Tamandua tetradactyla: one gene and its partners. The protein of the gene in region 2 purifies or fractionates together with the protein of the main gene of each other region. This does not show direct contact. Links are inferred from orthologs where the notes say so. Each region holds a gene or a part of one and is shown on either strand. Other genes may lie near its edges.

Evidence for each region.
Region 1: the proteins of RFC4 (region 2) and RFC1 fractionate together in Homo sapiens (co-fractionation; 7 studies listed by BioGRID and IntAct, counting the BioPlex papers as one, with this or other methods). This does not show direct contact. The link is inferred for Tamandua tetradactyla from reciprocal best matches to the Homo sapiens genes RFC4 and RFC1.
Region 3: the proteins of RFC4 (region 2) and ATAD5 purify together in Homo sapiens (affinity purification with mass spectrometry; 5 studies listed by BioGRID and IntAct, counting the BioPlex papers as one, with this or other methods). This does not show direct contact. The link is inferred for Tamandua tetradactyla from reciprocal best matches to the Homo sapiens genes RFC4 and ATAD5.

Annotation. Positions count from the first base shown.
Region 1 is NC_135345.1:41,121,840-41,129,697, reverse strand, and holds the start of RFC1 (replication factor C subunit 1), read left to right. Parts: upstream 1-4,486; 5' UTR 4,487-4,638; coding exon 4,639-4,641; intron 4,642-7,858. UniProt on the Homo sapiens protein: Subunit of the replication factor C (RFC) complex which acts during elongation of primed DNA templates by DNA polymerases delta and epsilon, and is necessary for ATP-dependent loading of proliferating cell nuclear antigen (PCNA) onto primed DNA.
Region 2 is NC_135336.1:5,794,327-5,803,130, forward strand, and holds the start of RFC4 (replication factor C subunit 4), read right to left. Parts: upstream 3,549-8,804; 5' UTR 3,209-3,548; intron 1,832-3,208; 5' UTR 1,821-1,831; coding exon 1,690-1,820; intron 259-1,689; coding exon 180-258; intron 1-179. UniProt on the Homo sapiens protein: Subunit of the replication factor C (RFC) complex which acts during elongation of primed DNA templates by DNA polymerases delta and epsilon, and is necessary for ATP-dependent loading of proliferating cell nuclear antigen (PCNA) onto primed DNA.
Region 3 is NC_135332.1:50,843,074-50,851,411, forward strand, and holds the start of ATAD5 (ATPase family AAA domain-containing protein 5), read left to right. Parts: upstream 1-4,655; 5' UTR 4,656-5,039; coding exon 5,040-5,105; intron 5,106-7,825; coding exon 7,826-8,338. UniProt on the Homo sapiens protein: Has an important role in DNA replication and in maintaining genome integrity during replication stress.

The DNA of each region.
Region 1 (7,858 bases), on a different chromosome or scaffold from region 2:
TCTAGAAGTGAATTATCAGTCATTTATTTATCAGCTTGTTTGAGAATTCATTATACGTAGAAAATTGGAATTAATGACTAAAATGCATGAGGAAAAACTTTTGGTCAAAATACTTCTAAGAAAACACAGAATGAATCTTTGTTAGCTAACTTTTTTTGACTTTTTTGTGAAAAATAACATACTAAAAAAAAAGCAATAATTTTCAAAGCACAGTACTACAGTTAGTTGTAGAACAGATTTCAGAGTTTGGCATGGGTTACAATTCCACAAATTTAGGCTTTTACTTCTAGTGGTGTTACTAATGTTTTATGTCATCAATAAATGACTTTCTGTGCCTCTCTGAAAAACTGTTTAAAAATCATCAGCCTGTTTGTTGTTTTCTTTGCATATCCTTAATTTCCTGGAGATGGATTATTGCAGTCTTTCATATCATGCTAAAGCATGGAAGTAGTTATGACATATCATCATTTTATTTTTATTGTCAAATAAAGGCCATGTAGAGAGGGAAGTTGCACAGAGGCTAGTCTTAGGTCTTTTTCCTGGAGCAAATTCAAACTAAACAGTAATGTTTAAAAGCCAAATGCAGAGTTATATAGAAACAAACTTAATAGACAAGTTTAAAAAATCATATTTTATAATTGTTTTGGTTTGCTAAAGCTGTCAGAATGCAATATACCAGAAATGATTGGCTTTTTACAAAGCAGATTTATTAGGTTACAAATTTACAGTTCTAAGGCCATGAAAATGTCAAAATTAAGGCATCAACAAGAGGATACCTTCACTCCAGAAAGGCCAACTGCATCTGGGTTCTCTGTCATAGGGGAAGGCACATAGCTACATCTGCTGGACCTCTCTCACAGCTTCTGGTTTCAAAAAGCTCTCTCAGCTCCTGTGGATCTTTCTGGTTTTCCCTGGGGCAGCCTCCTTTTGCATCTTCAAACATCTGTGTCTAGGAATCTGCTCTTTATGTCAACTCTGAGCTCTCTCTCTGTTTTCTGCCTTTTATTCTCTTCATATAGGGCTCCAGTAAGATAATTAAGACCCATTTTGGATGGGCAGGTTCATATCTCCATGGATACAACCTAATCAAATAGGTCTGTGCCACAAAATTGGACTAAAAGAATTTGGCTTTTCTGGGGTATGTAACAGATTCAAACCAGCACTGTAATGTTTCAGTAGTCCCAAAGACTTTGGAGCCATGAAAAAAAAGTCATATTTTCCCATAAAACACAAAGTAATCATTTCTTAATACAAAGTATAGAATGATCTATTTATAAAATAAAATTAGAATATTTTATAGAATAAAATTAAAACTCCTTTCCAGAAGTAGAGACATGAATGAAACTGATCTGGATAGGACTAAGATAAATCAAAATACAGGGTAAAGGATGATATGGTCTATATTTTAAACTAAACTTCTGTATGAGACCAAAAGAAGGATGTTTATTTGTGTAAAATTTATATTTGGGGTAGTGCATTGCCTAGTTTAACTTTGTATGGTCAGTTTATTTAAACAGTATAAGGACATGGAATTTTGAATAAGGAGTGAGATCTTGTTGGTTTGTCCAAGTTAGTGTGATGTCCTGATATATCCCAGAGTAATTTGGGGAGAGAATAAAAAGGTATTTGCAAAGTCCCCTCGGGAGACTAGGGAGAAAGAGGAAAATATTAAACTTCTCCATTTGGAAAATTCCTGTATTCTCACAAGCAGTAGGGACAACCAAGTCAACAGGCTGAGCCCTTGATCTTGGGGTTCACCCCATGAAACTTATTCCTGCAAAGGAGAACCTAAGCCTACTTATAATTATGCCTAAGAGTCACCCCCAGAGAACCTCATTCGTTGGTCAGATGTTGCTTCTCTCTCTACACCAATGTGGCAGGTGAACTCACTGTCCTTCCCCAATGCACTAGGTGAGACATGACTCCCAGGGATGTAAATCTCCCTGACAACACGGGACTTGACACCAGGGGATGAGCTGGGACCCGGCATCCTGGGATTGAGAAAGCCTTCTTGACCAACAGGGGGAAGAGAGAAATGAGACAAAATAAAGTTTCAGTGGCTGAGAAATTTCAAACAGAGTCAAGAGGTTATCCTGGAGATTATTCTTATGCACTATATAGATATCCCTTTTTAGTTTATGGTGTATTGGAGTGGCTAGAGGGAAGTAACTGAACCTGTTGTACTGTATTCCAGTAGCCTTGATTCTTGAAGACTATTGTGTAATGACATAACTTTTATAATAGGACTGTGTGATTGTGAAAACTTGTGTCTGATGCTCCTTTTATCCAGGATATGGACAGATGAGTAAAAAAACATGGATAAAAAATAAATAATAGGGGGAATATGGGGCTAAAATAATTGGGTAGATTGAAATATTAGTGGTCACTGATAGGGAGGAGTAAGGGGTATGGATTGTATGAGTTTTTTCTTTTTTCTTTTTATTTCTTTTTCTAGAGTGATGCAAATGTTCTAAAAATGATTATGGTGATGAACACACAACTAAGTGATGATATTGCGAGCCACTGATTGTACACCATGTATGGAATGGATGTGTGTGAAGATTTGTCAGTAAAAATATTCTTAGAAAAGCTGATCAGTAAATATATTCAAATTAAAAAAAAAGTTTCTGCTATACAGTATAGAATTAGTATTAGAGGAAATGACTGCCTCCACAGATTGAATCAGGAATAGAGTATAGCTTTTCTGGGGTACATAATATTTTAAAACTGGCACAGAGCCCTAGGTGTTCTTAGGGTTACCGGGAATGATTTGGATTGGATAATTACCAATTGTGGTAAGTATCATTATCTAGCTGGAGCTTTCATAAGAGTAGCTTCCAGAATAGCCTCTAGGACTCTATTTGAACTCTCTCAGTGTTCCCTTCTATTCTACAGGTAGTTTATTACAAATTCCTAGGTCCTTGAGATCTCTTGATCTGTAACATTTTAGTTTTGTTTATTTATCTACTTATTTTTTTCACAGGTCAATAAACACTATGATTTGACTTACGCCTCCTGACATTACAGTCAAAATTTTGTGTGATGTGACTGGTATGTACACTTTTCTGGGGAGCAAGTCATAACTTTTATTGATTTATAAACGTGTGTAACCCTTTCTCCCTCATTAAGCATTTCTCTGAGCAAAATCGTGGGGTAGATAAGTTTATTTTTGGAACAATCTCCGTTGAAAATACCTAGTATTGTGTAATCATAATGATTATAATGGATGGCATTTAAAAAAATGATTACTGATGTGCCAGGAACAGTTCCATAACAACTCTTTAAGGTACTACTACTATTACCCTCATTTTACAGATGAGGAAACCAAGGCACAGTAACTTGTTCATGGTCCCCAAGCGGTGGGTTGGGGACCTTACCATACTGGCTTGAGAGGGGCCCATATAATGAGACTCTGTTCATAAATAACAGTTTACTCATTTGTAGATTGGGAATAATACGAATAGCTAGTGTCACCGTGGGGATTAAATGAGCTAAAGTAGGATAATCCATAGCTGGATGGTTGGTACATATCACCGTGGTCATTAATAAATACAAGCTCTTCATACTTAGCCTCTACCGTATTCCAGTTGGCTTTGTTATCTTTCTCTGCAGAAATTTTAGGGTCATAAAGTGCATTACTGAATAGGGGGTGGGGGTAGGTGGGGGGTAAGGATATGAAACGCCAAGAGGAAGCCTAGGTAGTGCTCTCACCATTAGACTATTTATGGTCTCATGCTTCCTCTTAGAATCGCAGGCAAATATTGCATTCTATTCTACACTTCAGTTACCTATCTAAAAATAGAAAATTCCTTTCCTCCTAAGCTTTGGAGAGCATTGCTCTTCTAGTGAGATGGCCCTTGTTTATGCCTTGTCTTCACAATACCACTATTCTTAATATGCACGGTTGGGGATTAGGAGGCCTAGATTCCGAACGTCAGGCAGCTTTGGAACAAACTGGACCCTTTAATTTGTTTGAACCTTATAGTTCTCATTTATAAAATGGTGTCGGTGTCGGTTGTGGCGACAGATGACTTTTCCAAAGTCCTTTTTGTTCTAGAACTGTACAACTTCAAGATTGCCCTTTAACCCGGTGATTTTCAGACGGGGTGGTCGAGACAAAGATTAAAAGAAAAGATTTGTGTAAATACTGTTTCGGTGAAACTTTTGTTTCAGATTAGGTATTTATATGTAATATATGAAATTTATATCTAATATATATTAATGCCGGTGATGGTAAAAACTAATATAGGGAGTGCAACGTCTATACGTGTAACTGGGAGGGGCGTTGGGCACCTGGTCTTCCGGAGAGTCCAATCTTGCAACCCCAATTTAAGCGCCCCCGCCAAAACCCAAAGACGCAAACGTGAGCGCGGATTACCGTCTGCGGCTAGCTCCCCGCCAGGACAGCGGCCCGCCGTCCTCAGGGGCGGCACCCAGGCCCACGTCGCACCTCCTGCCCCGCTTCGGAGCCGAAGGGAAGCTGCGCGCTTCCTGACGTCATCACTACGCGCCGCGCCTCGGCCTTCTTCTACTCCGCGGGAGAAGTTGTTGGCGCGAATGGATCCTGGGTCCCGGTAACGGGTTGCGCAGACGGCCGGTTCTTCTGCTGCCCGCCCTCGCTTCAGTCTTTGGGCAGCCATGGTGAGCCCCTAGGGGAGGCTGTGCAGCTCGGGGGCTTGGGAGACTTTGCTGTCTGGGTGTGGACGGGGCATGTCTTGCATGGATGGTAGGAAAAGACGGCGATAAGTGGCTCTTCGTAGGGGGAGCGAAGGCAGAGAAGGGGCAAACCTTGGGCATTGGTCGCAGTACTTTTTTTTTTGACGGCGGGCTCTAGGTTTCGGCGGAAACCAGTGCGCAGGTCTTTTGGTGCCGCGCAGGCGTTTCGTTTTTTTCCACCCTTGGGGGAAGGGAGGAAGGAAGGGCATAATGAAGTTGATTTGGGGGCGCGGTGGTGAAGTTTTCCTGTTCAGCCTTGTCCCGAGTTTCAGTCTGAATCTTGCCTAAAGCTTTCATTCCAAGCTTTGGGTCCCGAGGCAGAAGCATGTAAGAAACTTTCCTTTGCTATAAGTTGTGTCAGGGTTTCAACTTTTCATTAACAGCTATGCGAAGCGCTCATCCCTTCCTTAACTGGTTTGAGACCGAGGGTATGGGAAGGATGTTTTATTTTGTTTGGATGCGTTCATAGCAGTCAAAGCGATAACACAGTTTACAGGAAAAAGGTACAGTGGGTAGAAACAGATGTAATACATTTGACAGCTGTCATCTCTTATTATGACGTTAAAAAATCTTAAAAATAATTCTGCATAATTTTGTATAAAGCGTTTAAATAAATTGAGAGTGAAACAATTATGCAGTCAGCAAAACTTGCATTCGTGATGATACAGGTATAACGTTTGAAATATTTTAAATATGAATTATCCTTTAAGATGTTCAAGTAATTCAGAGGATACTTAATACTCAGATGTAATTTTGTCAGTAGTTCTTCACCTTCTCTGTCAGAGTACCAGCCTTCTGGGGAAAAAGTTCTATACAAATTGGAAAACTTTGCAGTTCTTTATTTCTCAAAGAAGATAAAATAATAATGGTAATAGGCCCCCTATACCAAGCGTCTTCTTTATATCGATATGTGAGCTGTTTGTTTTACAAACCTTTCTTCGTTTAAACCTCACAGCAATCCCATTTTACAGATGGTAAAAGAGACTGTCAGAATTTAGACAGTTGTCATAAAACTAGTAAATGATTAGAATTAGAATCTAGTATATTTTCTGACCACTATAGTATATTGCCTCCTGGAAATGATTATTACTAGATTTTGAAGTTCAGGCACGATCAGGCAATGGTACTGTGGAAATTTGATGAGATTTAGGGCCTTGAAGGAGAGAGTCTTTTAGTCTTGTTCTGCTATTTAATAGTTTTGTGGTCTTGCCCAGAAAGTAGCTTAAATTAGATCCCATTTAAGCCTCTGTTTTCTTAACTGTGAAAGAAGGGAAAATAATAGCTGCTCTATTTGATTGTGTTGAAGATTAAACAAGATATGTAAAGCTTCCATTCTGGTGCCTAGCATGTGGTAGACATTACATTATACAACTACACAACTCCCAATCTGTTTTTCTCAGGAAGTACTCTATGGAGAGTCACAGAGTATAAGAGGCATTATAGATGCCTCTGATGTTGTCTGTTAGGGTGAATGACACCTTGTATAGTCAACTTTTGATCATTTAGGTACTTCTAATTTTGGTTCTTTTCTGTTTCTTTAGTGCTCCTGTTTATGGTACAAGTTGAAATGTAAAGTCCTTGTTAGAAAAGAAGTTGGAGTTAAATTGGTTAGTTTGCTGTTTGTTAGAGGGAAAAGGTTCTATACAGTAGGTAAGAACTTTTGATTTTATTGGTATTTAATTTAGTCCTCCTGTCTCTAGTTTAAAAATTAGCAAAATCCTAGACTAAAATTCTGTTCAACCTGTGTACAAATTGTATTAGAGTACAGTGCTTCTTATCCTTTGGGTGACAGTTTCCTTTGATAATGTGGTGAATGACATGCAGCTTTTCTGTCCACAGAAACGCACATAGGCACAGGTACAGCATTTTAGGAGATTCACATATCTTGTGAAGCTCATCAGTACCTGAAAGATTAACACCTCTTGCCCTGTGAGTTGCGTTTTCTCATATATTTTCCAATTAAAAATTATCAATAAAGGAATAAAATACTATATCCCTGCAAAGGAATACTATGCAGCTATTAAAAACGGGAAAACTGTTTATGCCTTGATATGAAATAATTGCCCAGATAAATTAAGTGAAAAAAGTAAGTGCAGAGCAATAAGTATCCTACCATTTTATACAAAAATAGGGGTGAAATATATATTTGCTTGTAGTTGCATTAAATATCTCAGAATGATGTACAAGAAACCGGTAGCATTTGAACTTCCAGAGATGGGAAATATGTGTCAGAGAGGCAGGGTGGAAGGGAAATTTATTACCCTTTTGGATTCTGAACCATCTACTCAGGAAATTTAAATGAAGTTAAAAATAAAGAGAATAAAAAAGAAGCCATATAAACAATCACATGAGACTTTTGGGACAGCTTTTTTGAAGAGTTGTCAAGTCCATCTACATTGTTATCAGCTGCCTCATTGCCCCATTGTGTGATTTTATTGTAACGGAGCTTTTGCTTTCTGATTACTTGCCCTTTCATCATTCAGGTTTCAGTAATTTTCTCTGAGGGGCTTTGCCCTATTCTAGCTAAAGCAAATATTCTTCACAGCCACCTTTTCCACATTTACCTATTTTATTCCCTAGCCCTTGTCAGTACCTGAAAATTATCTTTTTTTTAAAAAAAAGTCTTGTGATATAATTCACATGCCATACAATTCACTGATTAAAGTGTACATTGAGTGTGGTGGTGGCTCAGTGGCAGAATTCTCGCTTGCCATATCGGAGACCTGGGTTCGATTCCCCATGCCAGCCCATGTTAAAAAAAAAAAAAGTGTACATTGGCTTTTAGTACATTCATGGTTCTGCAGCCATCACCACAGTCAATTTTAGAACTTTATGACACCCAAAAGAAACCATGTACCATTAGGAATCACTTCCCATTTCCCCTCACCCTCTTTCTACTCCCAATTCTAGGCAACTGCCAATCTACCTTCTGTTTCTATCTAGGGATTTGTCTATTCTGTACCTGTCATATAAATGGAAAATGAAATCATATGCTATGTTGTCATTTGTGACAGACTTCTTTCACTTAGTACAATGTTTTCTAGGTTCATCTGTGTACATTCACTGGTAGCATGTACCAGTTCTTCATTTCTTTTTATTGTTGAATAATATTGCGTTTTATGTCTTTGCCACATTTTCTTTT
Region 2 (8,804 bases):
CTCAATAAGTATTTATTGACTAATTTTTTGTTGTACAAACAGTTGTTAATGTCCTACCGTATATTCAGTATGTTGTTTAACAGGGTAAGGAGAAGGGTGAACAAATTTTAAAGAAAGGAGGAGGGTGAACAAATTAAGTCTTAAAGTTCCAATGACATTAAATACCAATTTTTACTCACATCAGCTCCTTCTAAAGACTTTTTCAGCACAGCAACCACTTCTTCTTGGAAAGCAACTTCATCTACACATTTTGGGCGACTAGAACAAAGAAAGAGAGATTATTTAATATGTTACAATAGCTACAGAAGAGTCTCAAGTGTTGCTTCTGCTACAACATCAATGACAATTCTCAAGTAATAGAAAGAAAAACTGTAATTGGAAGTTGGTGGAAATCCCATTTGTATTTATGGTACATAAATAATTTTTCAATTCTCATCTGCTTTGTTCCCATATGTTATGCTTATAAAAATTAAGCAAAAGCCAATTGGGTAAACAAGTTAAATTCTTGCCTAGATAGTAATATATTTTGATAAGACCATAAACCCAAGCTGAAAAAGGGGCACTTTTTGTAAACCCAGGATAGCTAACTATAAAGTTCTTAATATCAATTTCTTCCACCACATAACTGTACAAAAAAAAAGGAAACCTATTCACTTCATTGAGGGCCCACAAAATTACAAGTTTTACCAATATGAAGCATGATAAAATTTATCATATCGTTTTCATCTCACATCACTAATTAATGATTTTAAGAGAAACAAGAACAAACATGTACACCCCCAATCCTAAAATGAGGACCTGTACTCAGTTATCCCACCAAAAGCTCTTCTTAGATCTATACTTTTCCAATAAATCAGGTCAATGCCAGGCAGAAACGTGAGATATTTTATAAGGAAACCAGAGTATTGTATAAACCAGGGTTCATATACAAATGCCTGAAGGGGTCTGGCAGATAATAAGAATGAAGGCAGCAGAGTGTAAGACTAAAGAAAATAATGGGGTCTATGGCAAATTGATGAACACCTCTTTTCCAAGATTAAAAGCACCTCTTAGGTCAATCCAATTTCTATTATATGAGACCTTGTACCCAGTGTAGCCTAACCTCCTGAGAAACTGATAATCCAGATTTTTATGTGAAAGGTCCTGGCCTTTTTTTTGAAGCACTATTGGAGCCAAACAAGACCAGTGAGGGCCCTATTTAGCCTATATGCCATCTGAAAACCCTTGGTAAATACAGAGGCCCATCTGAAAACCCTTGGTAAATATGAGGCCAAACTCAGAGGTTACAATTACCTTTTTTATAATATCACCTAGTTGACCGATAATTTAGGTGTCACATCAAGTGCTGTTTTTGTCAAAAACATAAACAAAACCCCAACAAGTATCATCTATTAGTAATGGAAAGGGGAATAGATTATTTGGATTTACCTGACCAAGAGCTTTAGGAAGCTTTATAGATACTGTCTTTTCATTGTAGTTTACCAGGCTCTAAAACTGTACTTAATGTAGAGAAACCTTAGTTCATAATTAAAATAAGGGAATTAAACTGGATCATTCTAAGGTATCTTTCAGTTCAAAGGTTCTATGACTTACATATTTGGAAGAATTTCAAGGACAACATCTAAGAAAAGCAAAACATTCCTGTCTTAAGTAAAATGAGTTATTAAAAAAACCCACAAATGTTCTTACTATTTTTCCACCCACGGAACAGGTTTGGCTTTCTTGTTTTCTCCACTGCTTCCTGCAGTGGCAGGTACTCCTCGATCCTTGCTCAGTGTTGGTTTAGTACTGATGGATGCACCTTTTAGAAATGCCTGCATGGTTACTCCACCTTGACAGATCCAAGACAGAAAAGTAGAAGCTATTTGAAACCATCATGAGGAAGTACAGTCTGAAAGCACATTTAACCTTGTGCAAAGGCATCCAATAATTACTTACTAAATGAAGGACATCACCCCAAGACCTAGGGCTCTCTGGATGTACAGTTTATATAGCACTGGTTATAGAGACAAAAGAAGCCAAAGTCCTGACAGAACTTACAATATCTTTATAGTAAGGGAGTTACAGAAAAAAGATACATCTTAGAACAGAAAACTGAACACCATTTTTTTTAAGTGTTCCAAATCCTTTGATAAATACAGTATCACTAGTGGCCAAACTGTACAGGGTCTATACAGTAACTTCCATTTCAGTTATGGGCCTGGCTTCAATTCAGACCCTGAGATGGGTTCAGTAATTAGGAGTCCTAGAACCACCGATGAGAACCTTCACTCCTTTTCTTGGGCTCAGATGTGTTTTACTGGCAGAGGTAATGACTACCTTAAGGCTCTTTTTTTTTTGCCAGGAAAGGGAAAATGAGGGATTCTGTTGTTAAAATGGGAAAAGCTCTGTGTTTTTTTAAATAAAATGTTCATTTTAAAAAACCAAAATATGCAGAAGAGCATGAGTTTTTTCAATTAAAAAAGGAGCAGGATCTTGACAGATAATTTACAGTATTACTGGCAATTCTGTATTATTCCTTGCTGTATCCTTCAGTACCTAGAAACGTGGCTGGTGCATGACAGACGTTCTATAATATTTATTTGGTGTATGAATTACCATATAAGAGACTCAAGCCCCCTTTCTGTAAAAGGAGCTAAGGCCTATTTCAAAGGCAACTGAGTTAAATAAAACATATGTGTGCAAATACATGATTCTGTGCTTGGCATATGGTATATAATCAATAAAATATATTAATATCTGTAAAGAGTCAAGTTTTTAACGTTATTATGTGTTACTCCATTCCTGCCACAAGCGCCTAAAGTGTAACAAACCCAATGCTGGGCTCTCAAAGATATTAATACTGAACGAGCGTTCCACGATGGGATACGTTCGGGGTTTGAGAAAGTGGTTGAGCTAGACTGGTTCAGCCCCTGCACGCGCCACAACGGAGATGAAAGACATTCCAGGGGCATCGCGGGCGTAGGAGTACAGGAAGGCGACGGGCCGCCCTCTCAATTTCTCTGGCCGGGTCACCTGTTAACCTGCGCTACCCGGTACAGCCTGGGCCCGTCAGCCACACGTCCTCAGTGAGAGGATGCCGCTGCCTCCTTCCCGGCGTTCCCGAGACATGGAGGCTGCGAAGCGGTCGCGAAGTTTTAACTCCGTCCCCCAATCTGAGAATAACAGGCCCCCGAGGCCCCAGGACACCAGACCGAGTGAAACTTACAGTTGCAGCGGTCACCGCAGGCGCCTCAGTTCCCGCCACCAAACGGCAGGCGAAGAGCTGGGCGGGCAGACGTGGGCACGTAGTGCGTCACTTCCTTTCCGAGGCGCACGGCCGAGGTTTCCTTCTCACGGGATCAGGTTACTCATACATAGTTTTATTTAAGCATATGAGGAGATATGTCAGCTTTTATGGACACACAGACTGGGGCAAAACATGATTAGAAAACGGTAAATAAACGTTCACCCTGTCCGGGCGGACTCCTCCTACTCGAGACTCCGGGGTAGGATGACTTCAGCACAACTGTCCGTGAGAGACTAAAGGCCGCGCGAGGAAACGGCCGGGTACTACTAGCCGGGCATGCGCAGTGAATGTGGGCGGGGAGAGATCCGCCGCAATTCAACTCCAAGGGCGGGAAAGCGAAGGGCGCGCGGGGCTCCGGAATCTGCGGCCGGTCCAAGAGGTCTTTCTTTTTAGGCGCAAGCTTGGAGTTCCTGTAACTCACCGTGAGCTGTCTGTCTGTTTCATTGGCACATTTTCGGTGACGCGACGGGGTTTGCATCTCCTTCACCCTGCAGGACGAGGTTGGGGAGGGTGGAGTCGATCTTTTGCCAGAAGAGGGCCTCCTGCCGTGTCCTGTCCTCTCCCTCCGGCTTCGTCGCAGAGCAAACCGTGTGTAATTTTAAGGGCAAGCCCCGAAACGTCCGAAGGAGATGCCTTTCCTGGCCTTTTTGAGGGCACAGGATTTATACCTCTGTTAGTGTTTGCCCGTTGCTGAGAGGCAGGACCCTGTCATTCAATTAGAAGGATTATCTTCTAAACCAGAGGCCGGCTCAGAATCTGGTGGTGCAGACACTCCATAAAATTAAGTGACTGATGATAACGTTTAACCCTACCAAATACATGCACTGTGGCCCCTGCGCAGGTGTCTGAGGCCACCCTTTTTATCTTCCCCACAACTTGACTTAGCTCTGAATTGTCCCTAAATCCTATTGAAATCTGACCCTTCTTAATTGCTACCTTCTCAGGCCTTTACCGATTGCCCTAACCCTTAAGGCTGACCCAGGTCTTCTACAAAGGAAATAATTTTAAGTTTTGTTTGGCTCATACCCAACATGAGACTTTTTATTAACTTTATCTGTGTGTTCATTTATCTTGCAATAAACGCTATGCTAGGAAACAAGTTGGAAGATATTCGTTTTACAGTCTAGAAAGATGACAGACAATGTAATGTGTGTTATGCTTGAGGAAGTAATGAGGCGCTTGAAAATACATCCTAGAACTAACCTAATCAAGGGATTAACAGAATTAGCTAAGGATGCATAATGCTACTTTGTAACTTCCACGGGGCCTGTGCACAATCTCTAGACACTATAAAAAGCAGGCAGGTTACCTATCTAGGCACTGGTCAAAAAGCTCCTTACTCTACACACTTAACGTTTGTACATTTTCTTGTATTAATTTATACCTCAGTGAAGTTAATAGAACAAAGATCTAGGAAGATAGATGGTATCATATTACTACTTAGAAAAGCACCACAATGTCCCAGGGTTAGATATTATAATCCCACTTTACATACAAGAAAACTGAGGCTAAAATGGATAAGTTTAATTTATGAAAGGCCAAGCAAATTTGCTAATTCTGGCTTAGTAAAGCCAGCATTCACATCCAGGATTGCCTAATTCCAGAGTCAGAGCTTGCCAATAAATAACTTGGTAGGGCCAGCACTGGCACAGAACTGCCTTCATGCTAAGTAGAAAAAAGAGACCTGATTGGTAGCCTGTTTGGCCAACCAGTTAAAAAAAGTGCCTCCTTCCAGGCATATTCAGCCACTTGAGGCGGTGAAAGACTTGGTGATAAGAGGTTTGGCTGGGCTTCAGCCTCTGCTGGCCCCATCAGCCAATCTTTCTGGTACACAACTGCAGGCAGCATCCTGACCCGGATAGTTCATTAATTTGCACACAAGCATTGTCTCTGTCACCAGAACAGGAAATGACAACATAAGTACAATTTTTGTGTATTGTGCATGGGTACTTATGTAATAAACCAGATAACTAATAATAACTTTAGTTTTTTAAGGAATATTCAGTCAATTATTGTTATTAAATGGAGATATATGAAATTTTTAATTTTAATTTAATTTTTTATTAGAGAAGTTGTAGTTTAGCAGAAAATACAGTGTACCCATATGCTCCCCTACATTGTCCCAAACACTTTTCCATATTATTATTCTTTGCATTAGTGTGGTACTTTAGTTAAAATTGATGAGCCAATATCATTATAATTAAGCTGTTAACAACAGTCCTTAGTTTACATTGGGATTCACTTTTTGTTTTGTATAGCCCTATGTTGTTTGTTTGTTTTTTTAATTTTTTATTCTAGTAACATATATATAAACTAAATTTCCCCCTTTAACCAAATTCAAATATATGATTCAGTGCTATTCCTTACGTTCACACTATATTGTGCTATAATCACCACCATCCCTTACCTAATAACCTATATTCTAGTTTCTGAACCTATATTGCTTATTCTAATTATTTCATATCAGTGAGATCCTACAATACTTGTCCTCTTGTTCCTGGCTTATTTTACTCAATATAATGCCTTCAGAGTTCATCCATGTTATCACATGTATCAGAACTTCAATCCCTTTTACAGCTGAATAATGTTCCATTTGATTATATATACCACATTTTGTTTATCCATTCGTTTGTTGATGGTCATGTGGATTGCGTCCATCTTTTAGCAATTATGGATAATGATGCTATGAACATTGGTATGCAAATATCTGTTCGAGTCCATGCTTTCAATGCTTTTGGGTATATACCTAGAAGTGGGATTGGTGGGTTATATGGTAATTTTTTTTTCAAATGGTAATTTTATACTTAACTTTCTAAGGAACTTCCAAACTGTCTTCCATAGCAGCAACATAATTTTACATTCCCGACAATAATGAATGAGTATTTATATTTCTCCATATCCCTCCCAACACTTTTTATATTGTTTATTTTAAAAGTAGCCATTCTAGTGTGTGTGAAATGGCATCTCATTTGTGGTTTTGATGAGCATTTTCATAATGGCTAATGATATTGAGCATCTTTTCATGTGCATATTGGCCATTGAAGAAATGTCTATTCAAGTCTTTTGTTCACATTTTAGTTGAGTTATCTTTTTGTTGTTGAGTTGTAGGATTTCTTTATATATTCTGGATATTAAAACCTTATGAAATACATGGTTTCCAAATATATTCTCCCATTTTGTAGATTGTCTGTTTAGTTTCATGATGAAGTTCTTTGATGCACAGAAGTTTTAAATTTTTAAAATTTATTTATTAAAAAAATTAACAAACCAAATAAAACATTAACATATATAATCAGTAATTCACAATATCATCACTTAGTAGCATATTCATCATTTCTTAGAACATTTGCATTAATTCAGAAAAAGAAATAAAACGAAAACAGAAAAGAAAAAGATTATACCTACCATGCCCCTTACCCCTCACTTTCATTGATCACTAGCATTTCAAACTAAATTTATTTTAGCATTTGTTCCCCCTATTATTTATTTTTATTCCATATGTTCTACTCCTTTGTTGACAAGGTAGATAAAAGGAGCATCAGACACAAGGTTTTCACAATCACACAGTCACATTGTGAAAGCTATATCATTATACAGTCATCCTCAAGAAACATGGCTACTGGAACACAGCTCTACATTTTCAGGCAGTTCCCTCCAGCCGCTCTACTACATCTTGAACAACAAGGTGATTTCTACTTAATACATAAGAATAACCTCCAGGATAACCTCTCGAATCTGTTTGGAATTTCTCAGCCATTGACACTTTGTCTCATTTCACTCTTCCCTCTTTTGGTCGAGAAGGTTTTCTCAATCCCTCGATGCTAAGTCTCAGCTCATTCTAGGGTTTTTCTTAATCCCTTGATGCCGAGTCTCAGCTCATTCTAGGATTTCTGTCCCACGTTGCCAGGAAGGTCCACACCCCTGGGAGTCATGTCCCACGTAGACAGGGGGAGGGTGGTGTGATTTCTTGTTGTGTTGACTGGAGAGAGAGGCCACATCTGAGCAACAAAAGAGGCTCTCTTGGGGGTGACTCTTAGGCCTAAATTTTAAGTAGACTTGACCTATCTTTTGTGGGGTTAAGTTTCATATGAACAAACCCCAAGACTGGGGTCTCAGCCTATAGCTTTGGATGTCCACACTGCTTGTGAGAATATCAAGAATTCAACTAGGGGGGGTTGAATTTTCCCCCATTCTCACCATTATCTGAAGGGGACTTTGCAAATACTTTTCCACTCACTGATCGAATCAAGTTTTAAATTTTGATAAAGCCCTATTTATCTATTTTTTCTTTGTTGTTTGTGCTTTTGGTGTAAAGTCTAAGAAATCATTACCTAACAGAAGGTCCTGAAAATGTTTCCTTGTTTTCTTCTAGGAGTTTTATCATTTTGGTACTTAGATTTAGGCCTTTAATCCGTTTTGAGTTAAGTTTTGTGTATGGTAGAGGCCAAGATCAACTTTCCTACTTTTGCATATGTATAACCAGTTTTCAAGGCACCATTTGCTGAAGATAGGATTGTTTCAGCCCTGCACAACCTGAGACTAAAGAACATGCCAGACAGAAGATTACCCATGAGGTTTAATTAGGACCCTATGGACAGGAGGAAGATCTTCCCCAGTGGTGGCTGGTTGGGAGATGTAAGTCTGTACTCTGCCCATATCCAAGAGAGGAAGAGAAAGGGTGAGAGGTGGGCCCAGGAAAAGGCTTATAAAGTTTTAACAGTCTCGTGGGATTTGGTTACCACATAGTTATAGTAGACTCTCCTGAGATTTGGTTATTAGAGGTGGGGTGCTTTACATTCTTTGATCTTTAACATCTGTCCCCAGTCATATAGGTGGCTAGGTGACTTGCTTTCAAAATAGGAGGGAAAAGGAGCAGCAGGGCCCAGGCTCTGAGTCCTTACAAATCCTTTCCTCATTGAGTGGGCTTGACATCTTGTTAAAAATCAACTTGCCATCTTTCAGATAACCGAGATGGTGGTATAAGATGCTCCAGGGTGCTGTCCCCCACAGAATCTTTGAACAACTAACAAAAACTGGCTAAGCTATCTTCCTTGAAAGTTCAGAAAATACCTAAAGGGTTGCAGTAACTGGGAAAGTGTGGAAACAAGAGAAAGCAGTTTGAAAAATGATAGGCAATGCTTGTGATGCCCTTGCTAGCCCATCTACCAGCCCTTCCTCACTATTGTGTGGATCCAGCCTGCACTCCTGTTGCGGGTCCTTGGCCCTGTTCACAGGGAGCAGAGGCGCCCCTAAATGCAAACTGGAGTGCATGTATGCCAGGGCCAATCTATCTGGTGGAAGCCTGAAAGACTGAACCAGGAAACTTTTCTCAGGCTTATTCCCAGAATTTGTGCTGAAGCAGCTTGCTGACAGCTAAAGCAGAGTAAGAAAGGATTAAGTAGAAGTGCCCTGGCTCAAAGAACTACCTGTCATACAATAGAACACCAAGAAAGTGTGAAAGTCTATTTCAAAGGGAATAGAGGGGGAAATAACATTCCTGTAAACAGAGGAATTC
Region 3 (8,338 bases), on a different chromosome or scaffold from region 2:
ATTTGCATCAACTCCAGAAAAAGAAATAAAAAGAAAAAAGAAAAAACTCATACATACCATACCCCTAACCCCTCCCTCTCATTGGCCACCTATCCAATATATATATTTTTTAATTTTAACATTTGTTCCCTCTAATATTTATATATTTTTAATCCACATGTTTTACACATCTGTCCATACCGTAGATAAAAGAAGCATCAGACACAAGGTATTCACAATCACACAGTCACATTGCAAAAGCTATTATCATTATACTATCATCTTAAAGAAACATGGCTACTGGAACACAGCTCTACAGCTTCAGGCACTTCCCCCTAGCCTAATACACTTTAATCTAAAAAGGGGATATCTATATAATGTGTAAGAATAACCTCCAGGATAACCTCTCGACTCTGAAATCTTTCAGCCACTGACACTTTATTTTATCTCATTTCTCTCTTCCTCTTTTCGGTCAAGAGGACTTTCTCAACCCCTTGATGTTGAGTCCCAGATCATTCTAGGATTTCTGTCCCTCATTGCCAGGGAGGTTTACACCCCTGGGAATCATGTCCCACGTAGAGAGTGGGAGGGCGGTGAGTTTACTTGCCGTGTTGTCTGAGAGAGAGATAGGCCACGTCTGAGCCACAAAAGAGGTTCTTTGGGGGTAAGTCTTGGGCCTAATTTGAAGCATAGCCTGACTACCTTCTAAAATTGCAATCTTTCCCCTGGCATTCATTTCCTTATCCCACTTCCTGCTCTATTTTCTCCTCAGCATTTACCCTTACCTATCCTACCATATATTTTACTTATTTATCAATTTTATTATATGTCCCTTCAATCAGAATGTAAACTGCAAGAGGTTAGGGATTTTTATCTGTTTTGTTCATGCTGCTTCCCGGTGTCTAAACAGTGCCTGGCATATAGTAGGAACTCCACGCTATTTATGGAATGATGGACTACCACAGATGGTGACACTGAGGTATGGGATTGAAAAAGGAGGGTATTAGTTAAAATCAGAGTGACATCTTCCAGTTCCAGAGTTCTATAACATGCAGTTAGGTGACCTCTTCAAATAGCCCCTACCCAACTGCAAGATATACAACTCTTCCACAGTTCTTGAAACTGGAGGATAAACTGAATGGTCCCAGAGAAAGATCACCTCATATTGACAGTTGGGAGGCCCCTGTGAAGAGGCAGCAGACTCCCCAGACCCACAACCCCCAGGACCAGAAAACTATTGGATTAATGCCTGGCAAAGCAGGGGGCCTCTGGACCCTCCTCTAGCCCTAAGTGCCAGAATCTGTTGATTCTTTGGTATTTTGACCTACCTTTCATTGATTATTTTGACTCTCCTCTTGGGCAGCAGGTAATAGATATATAGAAACAAAATAAAATAGAAAAAAAAAGAGGAGGTACTTATCAATTCCAGGAAAAGAAAAAAACTTGGAGGCGAAAGTAAATCACTTGGATCAGTTGTAAACAATATTTACATCATCACAAAATGCAAAATTGATGATTGAGTTAGTAAAAAATTGCCATATAAATATAATAGAAGGGGGGAAGGAGAGAAAGTGTGAAGGGTGTGGTATAAGAGAATTTAATTCTCAGTCACCACAACAGGAAATTAATGAATATGTTTAATGTAGTTAAATCAAGAAATAGCTGTACAAACATATTATATATTAAAAAATAAGTTATTTATATTGTGAAGTGTTGAAATTGGTTGTCTATGGGAAAGAGACCCAGGTTGTGAAATAGCTATATTTTTATGTTTTTTAAAATGTTCTTTGATGTTTTTAACAAAGTGTAGGCATTACTTTGTTAAAAATGAAAAATAATTAAAGTAGGGTTTATGAAAAAAATAGGAAAGATACTCTAAATGACACGAACAAACTGTAAACTCTAAGTTGCTATACAAACATGGAACCCATTTAATTTAAAATTGATAAATACCATGAGTTCCTAAATGAGGGTTGTGTAAAATACTAATTACATATCTAGAAACAAACTCAGTGCATATGATAACAACTCAAGGCAGTACAAATGCATAACATTCAAGAAGGATAAAAAGCCTATAGACATAACCTATAACTTACTTTGAGATGTTTATCCTAGGGAGACATTACACGTGTGTTTAGGGGACCTAGACAAAAATATTCATTCACTCACTGCTTGAGTAACAGAAAATTAGAGACAACCCAAATGTCCATCTCTAAGGAAATACATAATTAAAACGTGGTGCATAGTTGGATAGAAAACTCAGGAATGAAAGGGAATAGATGAGATTTGTTCTAGTTTGCTAGCTGCCAGAATACAATATACCAGAAACGGAATGGCTTTTAAAAAGGGGTATTTAATAAGTTGCTTGTTTAAGTTCTAAGGCCGAGAAAATGTACCAATTAAAACAACTCTATAGAAGTGTCCAATCTAAGGCATCCAGGAAAAGATACCTTGGTTCAAGAAGGCCGATGAAGTTCAGGGTTTCTCTCTCAAGTGGAAGGGCACATGGTGAGCACAGTCAGGGCTTCTCTCTAGGCTGGAAGGGCACATGGTGAACATGGCATCATCTGCTAGCTTTCTCTCCTGGCTTCGGGTTTCTTTTTCATTTATTTATTTATTTATTCATTTATTTATTAATTAAAAAAATTAACTAACAACATTTAGAAATCATTCCATTCTACATATGCAATCAGTAATTCTTAATATCATCACATAGATGTATGATCATCATTTCTTAGTACATTTGCATCGATTTAGAAAAAGAAATAGCAAGACAACAGAAAAAGAAATAAAATGATAATATAGAGAAAAAATAAAAATAAAAAATACAAAAAATATATATAAAAAAACAAACAAAAAAAAACTATAGCTCAGATGCAGCTTCATTCAGTATTTTAACATAATTACATTACAATTAGGTAGTATTGTGCTGTACATTTTTGCATTTTTGTATCTAGTCCTGTTGCACAGTCTGTATCCCTTGAAGCTCCCCGGGAGGCGTTGTCCTTCTTCATCTCCAAAGGTCGCTGGCTTGTGGACTCTGCTTTGTGGTGCTGCAGCATTCTCTGCTCTCTCTGAATCTCCATTCTCCAAAATGTTTCCTCTTTTATAGGACTCCAGCAAACCAATCAAGACCTACCCAAATGGGTGGAGACATGTTGTCACCTAATCCAGTTTAACAAACACTCTTGACTAAATCACATCATCCAGGGAGATGATCTGATTACAGATTCAAACATACAGTACCAAATAGGGATTATTCTACCTTTATGAAATGGGATTTTGATTAAAATATGGCTTTTCTAGGGGGCATACTTCCGTTCAAACCAGCACAAGGTCTACATGAATCATGAACAGCTCTTGAAAACAATGTTGAGTAAAAAAAACAAGCAAATGAGTGATATCTACAGTGACACCATTTATTTATAATTTTTTTGTACATAAAAACAAAAGTAAAGATTTCCTATGGATACATATGTGTATGGAAAGCTATGAAAAAGATTGCAGCAGTACACACCAAATAAATAATAGTGGCCACCTCTGGGAGAAAGGGAGAAGATCAAGTTCAGGGGTAAAAGTCAAAGGAAATTTTTAGGTTTTTTTCCTGTAATTTTCTCATTTATTTTTCTTGTTCTTTTTTGGGACAATGTTCATATACTCCCTGAGTTATAAAACATATATAACAAGGGAACAGAACAGTACATTAAACATTAAACATTATTTTTAAAACATTAACATTAAGCAAAACATTAAAGAAACAGAACAGAGCATTAAAGCAGTAGTGTTTCTCCTCCTGAAAAATCTTATTCAGAGCTAATTTTCAAAGAAAACGTAATTACCATTAATTTCATTAGGGAAACATTTGTATGTGCTCTTACCACACAAATTACCTCCCACTTCTGATAAGACAGCAACAAAGACCCTAAAAGATGGTCACAAATACTTCAGTAGTTAAAAACACTTTGCATAACACTGGAACAGGTGGCTTCCCATCATTACTTGATTATGTCCTTTCTCTCTGTCGGCTCCTACACACTTGATTCAGTTTTTACATACCCGTCAGTTAAAAACTTATGCTTTCCAACAAACATTCATTATGTTTATGTAATTGCAACTTTCACGTAAAAGAAAAAAAGACTAAACAAATCCATAAAAACAATGGAAATGAAAACAAGGTTATCATTACTACTAACAGCAAAACACTGGTATCCTGCTTGGACTCCTACACTGCTCAGAGGACGAAATCCACAGGGAAAACAAGTCTTCTTAGCCAAATTCGGGGTATAAACGTAAAGCCAAAATCTCGGACCCCAAATGGGCTTATCTCGAGGTATGACTCACGCCAAATAATTAACATATACTGGGTGATAGGAATATAGTAATTGTTACTTCTTTAACAAAATTTCCACTTTAAAAAAGGATCCGGCCTGGAGCGTCAAGAGTCTAGGGTTTTAGTTTTATCGCCGACTAGGTGATCCAAGTCAAATCAAGTCCTTACATGTGAAATTGGACTTTAAGTCACGAGAAATTCGAATCTTTAAAATTCCGGTTGACATTAAATTCCTCGGTACTAAGATCCTGCTTCGGGCCAGTTCGCCAAGAGAAGCATTTTGGCTCCTTTGGCTCACCGTCCGTTCAGATCTCGGGAAGCAACACTAAGCTCCGCCCCCCGCGCGCCGGACGGCGCGAAAACCCAATTGACTAGAACTCCTGCTAAACCTTTCAGGACTGATCTGCGTTCGGTCAGCTTTCCCCGCCCGGACCCTTCTAGCCTTGAAGACTCACCCTAGAGCGCCCGCCTAGGAGGCACTCGGCGCTCACTGGCCGCGCCCCAGGGGTCTCGCCGTCCGCGCCTTTTCTTCCCCTCTTCCCGCGTTCGACTCGGCCAAGCTCGGCCCGGGCTCCGCGCGCTCTTCGGCGGGTGGGCGCAGGGAAATCCGAGACGGACCGGGAGACCCAGCTCGGCTCTCCTCCTGGAGCAGGCCGCCCCCATGGCCTCCAGGCAGGCCAGTCCGGTTCGCGAATGCTCCTAGGAACCGGGATACTGGGAAGCAGGGAGCATGGTAGGGGTCCTTGCCATGGCGGCGGCGGCTGCTCCCCCTCCAGTGAAGGACTACGAGATTGAGGTGCGGTCGAGTGTCTGTCGAGTTCCTTTCTCCGGCTGTTGGGGTTGGGTGGGTGGAAGGTGATCCCGACTTTGCAACTCTGAGGCGGAAGGGAAGGACATGGTGAGACCCCCAAGTTATGATCTTGTGCCTAGACTGTGTCTCTTTTTAGAGTTGTCTTGACAAACATTGCGGTTGTGCGATGTTTGGGGGGTCACGGTAAATCTGGATTTAGAATGATGATTCGGCCAGTTACCAGAGCCTGACATGTTCGTGGAACATGATGTTTTGGACTTGTGACATGTCATGGGGTAGCCGAGAGACAGGTTCTGGTTTCATGATATAGAGCCATAGGACTTTAGCGATGAAAAGGATTTTAAAGTTCACCTAGCCTATCCTTCTGTCTATTTTAGGAATGCCACTTAGTGTCAGTACTGGAATTAAACAAGGTGCTTAATAAAAAAATCAGTTTCTCCTGGCCCTAGTTCTTATGCTACAATTAGAAATTCAGTGTGGCATACTGACATTTCATGATTTTGTCAAGTTTTAGTGAAGTGCACTAAGCATTCATTATAAAGAGAGTCTAGTGCCGCTTAAGTAGTGGGCTAGCATCTTAAGGTAAACAGTTGCTATATTTTTACGTCTTTTCATCTCAGGTTAGCATTCTAACTGAAATATGTGTCCTGGTGTCCTCTAAGTGAGCCGAGATGTATGCACTTTTTTTTAGGCTTTTTTTTTTTTTTTTTTTTTTTTTGCATGGGTAGTAACCGGGAATCGAGCCCCGGTCTCCGGCTTGGCTGGCAAGAACTGCCTGCTGAGCCACGGTGGCCCGCCCTAAAATGTATACACTTTTAACCGCGACCATTTCTTTTTTCTCGGAGTTGGGTGCCCTTTTTCCCCCTCTTTTTGTTTTTATTTAATTATTATTATTTTTTGGAGTTGAGTGACTTTTGTATGCTTGAAAATAGTTATGCTGATACTAGCTACTAATTAGCTAAATCAAGGCAGTTCTCAGCTGGTCTCAGGTTTTGTGATGGTCTTTTGGTAGTTGAATTACACAGTTTTTGATTTGTGTGTGGTCAGTTTTATCAATCTTTTCCTTATGTTTTCTGCTTTTGGTAGCCTGCTTAGAGAGCTTGTATAATTATAATGACACTTACTTTTGTATGGTAAGGGTAAGGGCTTTATAAATATTATTGCTTAATATTGCTTAATATCAACCCTGTGATGGAGTCCACAAAGGAGAAGAAGGTTAAAAAGTTTAATTTGGTACAGTGTTAATAATGGTGGATCTGGGTATCTTGAAGGGTGGGGGTATGTTGGAGTTCTCTTATTGGTTTTGTATTATTTTTGCACCTGTCCTATAAGTTTGAAATTATTTCAAAATAAAGAAGTTTAAGGGAAGGAAAGGAAAAACTCTTTAAAAACAGCAGGTTTAATTTGATTAAGGTCACACCCAGTAGATGTCAGAGCTGACAGCTGGTAGATCTGACCCCACAGGCTGTAGTATAGTGCCTCTAATATTGTCTCAGGATTGTATCTATACTCATCAGTATTTTCTTCTAGTGTATTTATGATTTCATTGTAACAAATACGGTTTTAGTTTGTCTGATCTTATTTTGTTTCAGGTTAGAAATTTGTCCCAATACTATTAACTGTGTCTTTTTCCACTAACTTGATTGCTATTAGTATCATATATTAAGGTCTTAAATATTTACTTTATTTTATATATAGCAAATATATTATACGGTTTCTGAGTTTTTTAACCCATTCCATTAAAATATCTGCCTGTATCAGCACTACACTTTTAATCTTGATAGCTGTATAATACAATTAAGTTTCCAGAAGTATAATTCTCCTATTCATTACCTCTTAAGAATTTCCTTGTTATTTTGATAAGTTTATTCTAACAAACAGAGAAGAGAGAATTAAAGAAAAAACCAATGGAACTTTTTGTACCCAATAAGTTGATATCTATTTTCTATCATAATAAAATTTGTTTATAATATATAGAAATATATATATAGATTACTAACTTATGATCAACAAAAAAGATAGTCATGTCTAACATTATAGTAATCTTTATGCTGTGAGTGTAATCACTAATGTAGAAGGAAGATAGTGGTTGTTTTAATAGCAAATTAAAATAACAGACTTGTAGTAAGTGTTCTTCTGGTGATGTTACTATATTTTCTGTTTGATTAGTAAATATTGTGGGATCCTGGGCTTGTTCATCATGTTCTTGTTTTTTTTTTTTTTTTTTAAGTACAGCCAGGATAATGTGTTTAACTAAAACTTACCTAGATAAAAGTTAAAAAGGGATGGAACAAACATTTGTATTGTCCCTATCATGTGTCAGACTTGACATATTTTATCTAATACATTCATTTTAAGTTCTGTAAAATTGGTGATGCTATTCATGGTTCATAGAGTAAACAGAAGCTGTGAGAGATTGATACATTTACTCATAAATACAGTGACCTTGGAATTTTTTTTTTTAGTGTGAACATTTTATATAATGAAAAATACACTTATAAATTATAAGCGTACAACTCATTGGGCACTGGAATTTAAATATAGGTTTAACTTCAAATCTCGTGTTCCTTACCATTTATCAAGTTTGTCACTAAAGAGCCTTCATTTCTTTATTCAATTACTTAAAATATTAGGTCGATGTTTAAAGTTTGTATTTTGTATTACTTGCTTGAAATACGTGTCTTTTTCTTCTTTTATGTCTATAGCCATGTAAAAAGCGAAGGAAAGATGAGGACAGATCTTCCTGCAAAACAATTATAAAATATTTATCACCCATAGGGAAGACTGGAGATAGGGTCTTCTCTCCACCAAAATCCAACAATATTCTGGATTATTTTAGAAAGACCTCACCAACACATGAGAAGACAGAATCGGTGAAACAGTGTAAGATAAAGTCATCTGAACTGATGCCTGCTGACAGTGGCAAAGATTGCAAAACACCTTTGAAAATGTTCTCAAATGTAGAGTTTAAGAAGAGAGGAAAGAGAGTTAATTTATCTCATCAACTAAATAATATGAAACTTGAAAATGAATCTCCAGTTGAAATTAATAATAATAATAAAGAAGATTCAAGGCTAAGCAATGATTTTGCAGAAAGCAGTACTTCTGTTTTACTCTACCAAAAACATGTAGCGATACTTGCAGAAAGTTTTCAAGATATCAAAAGCCAGTCAAGCACTATGACCTCCAAAAAAAATTATGAGAAAATAAATCCTAAA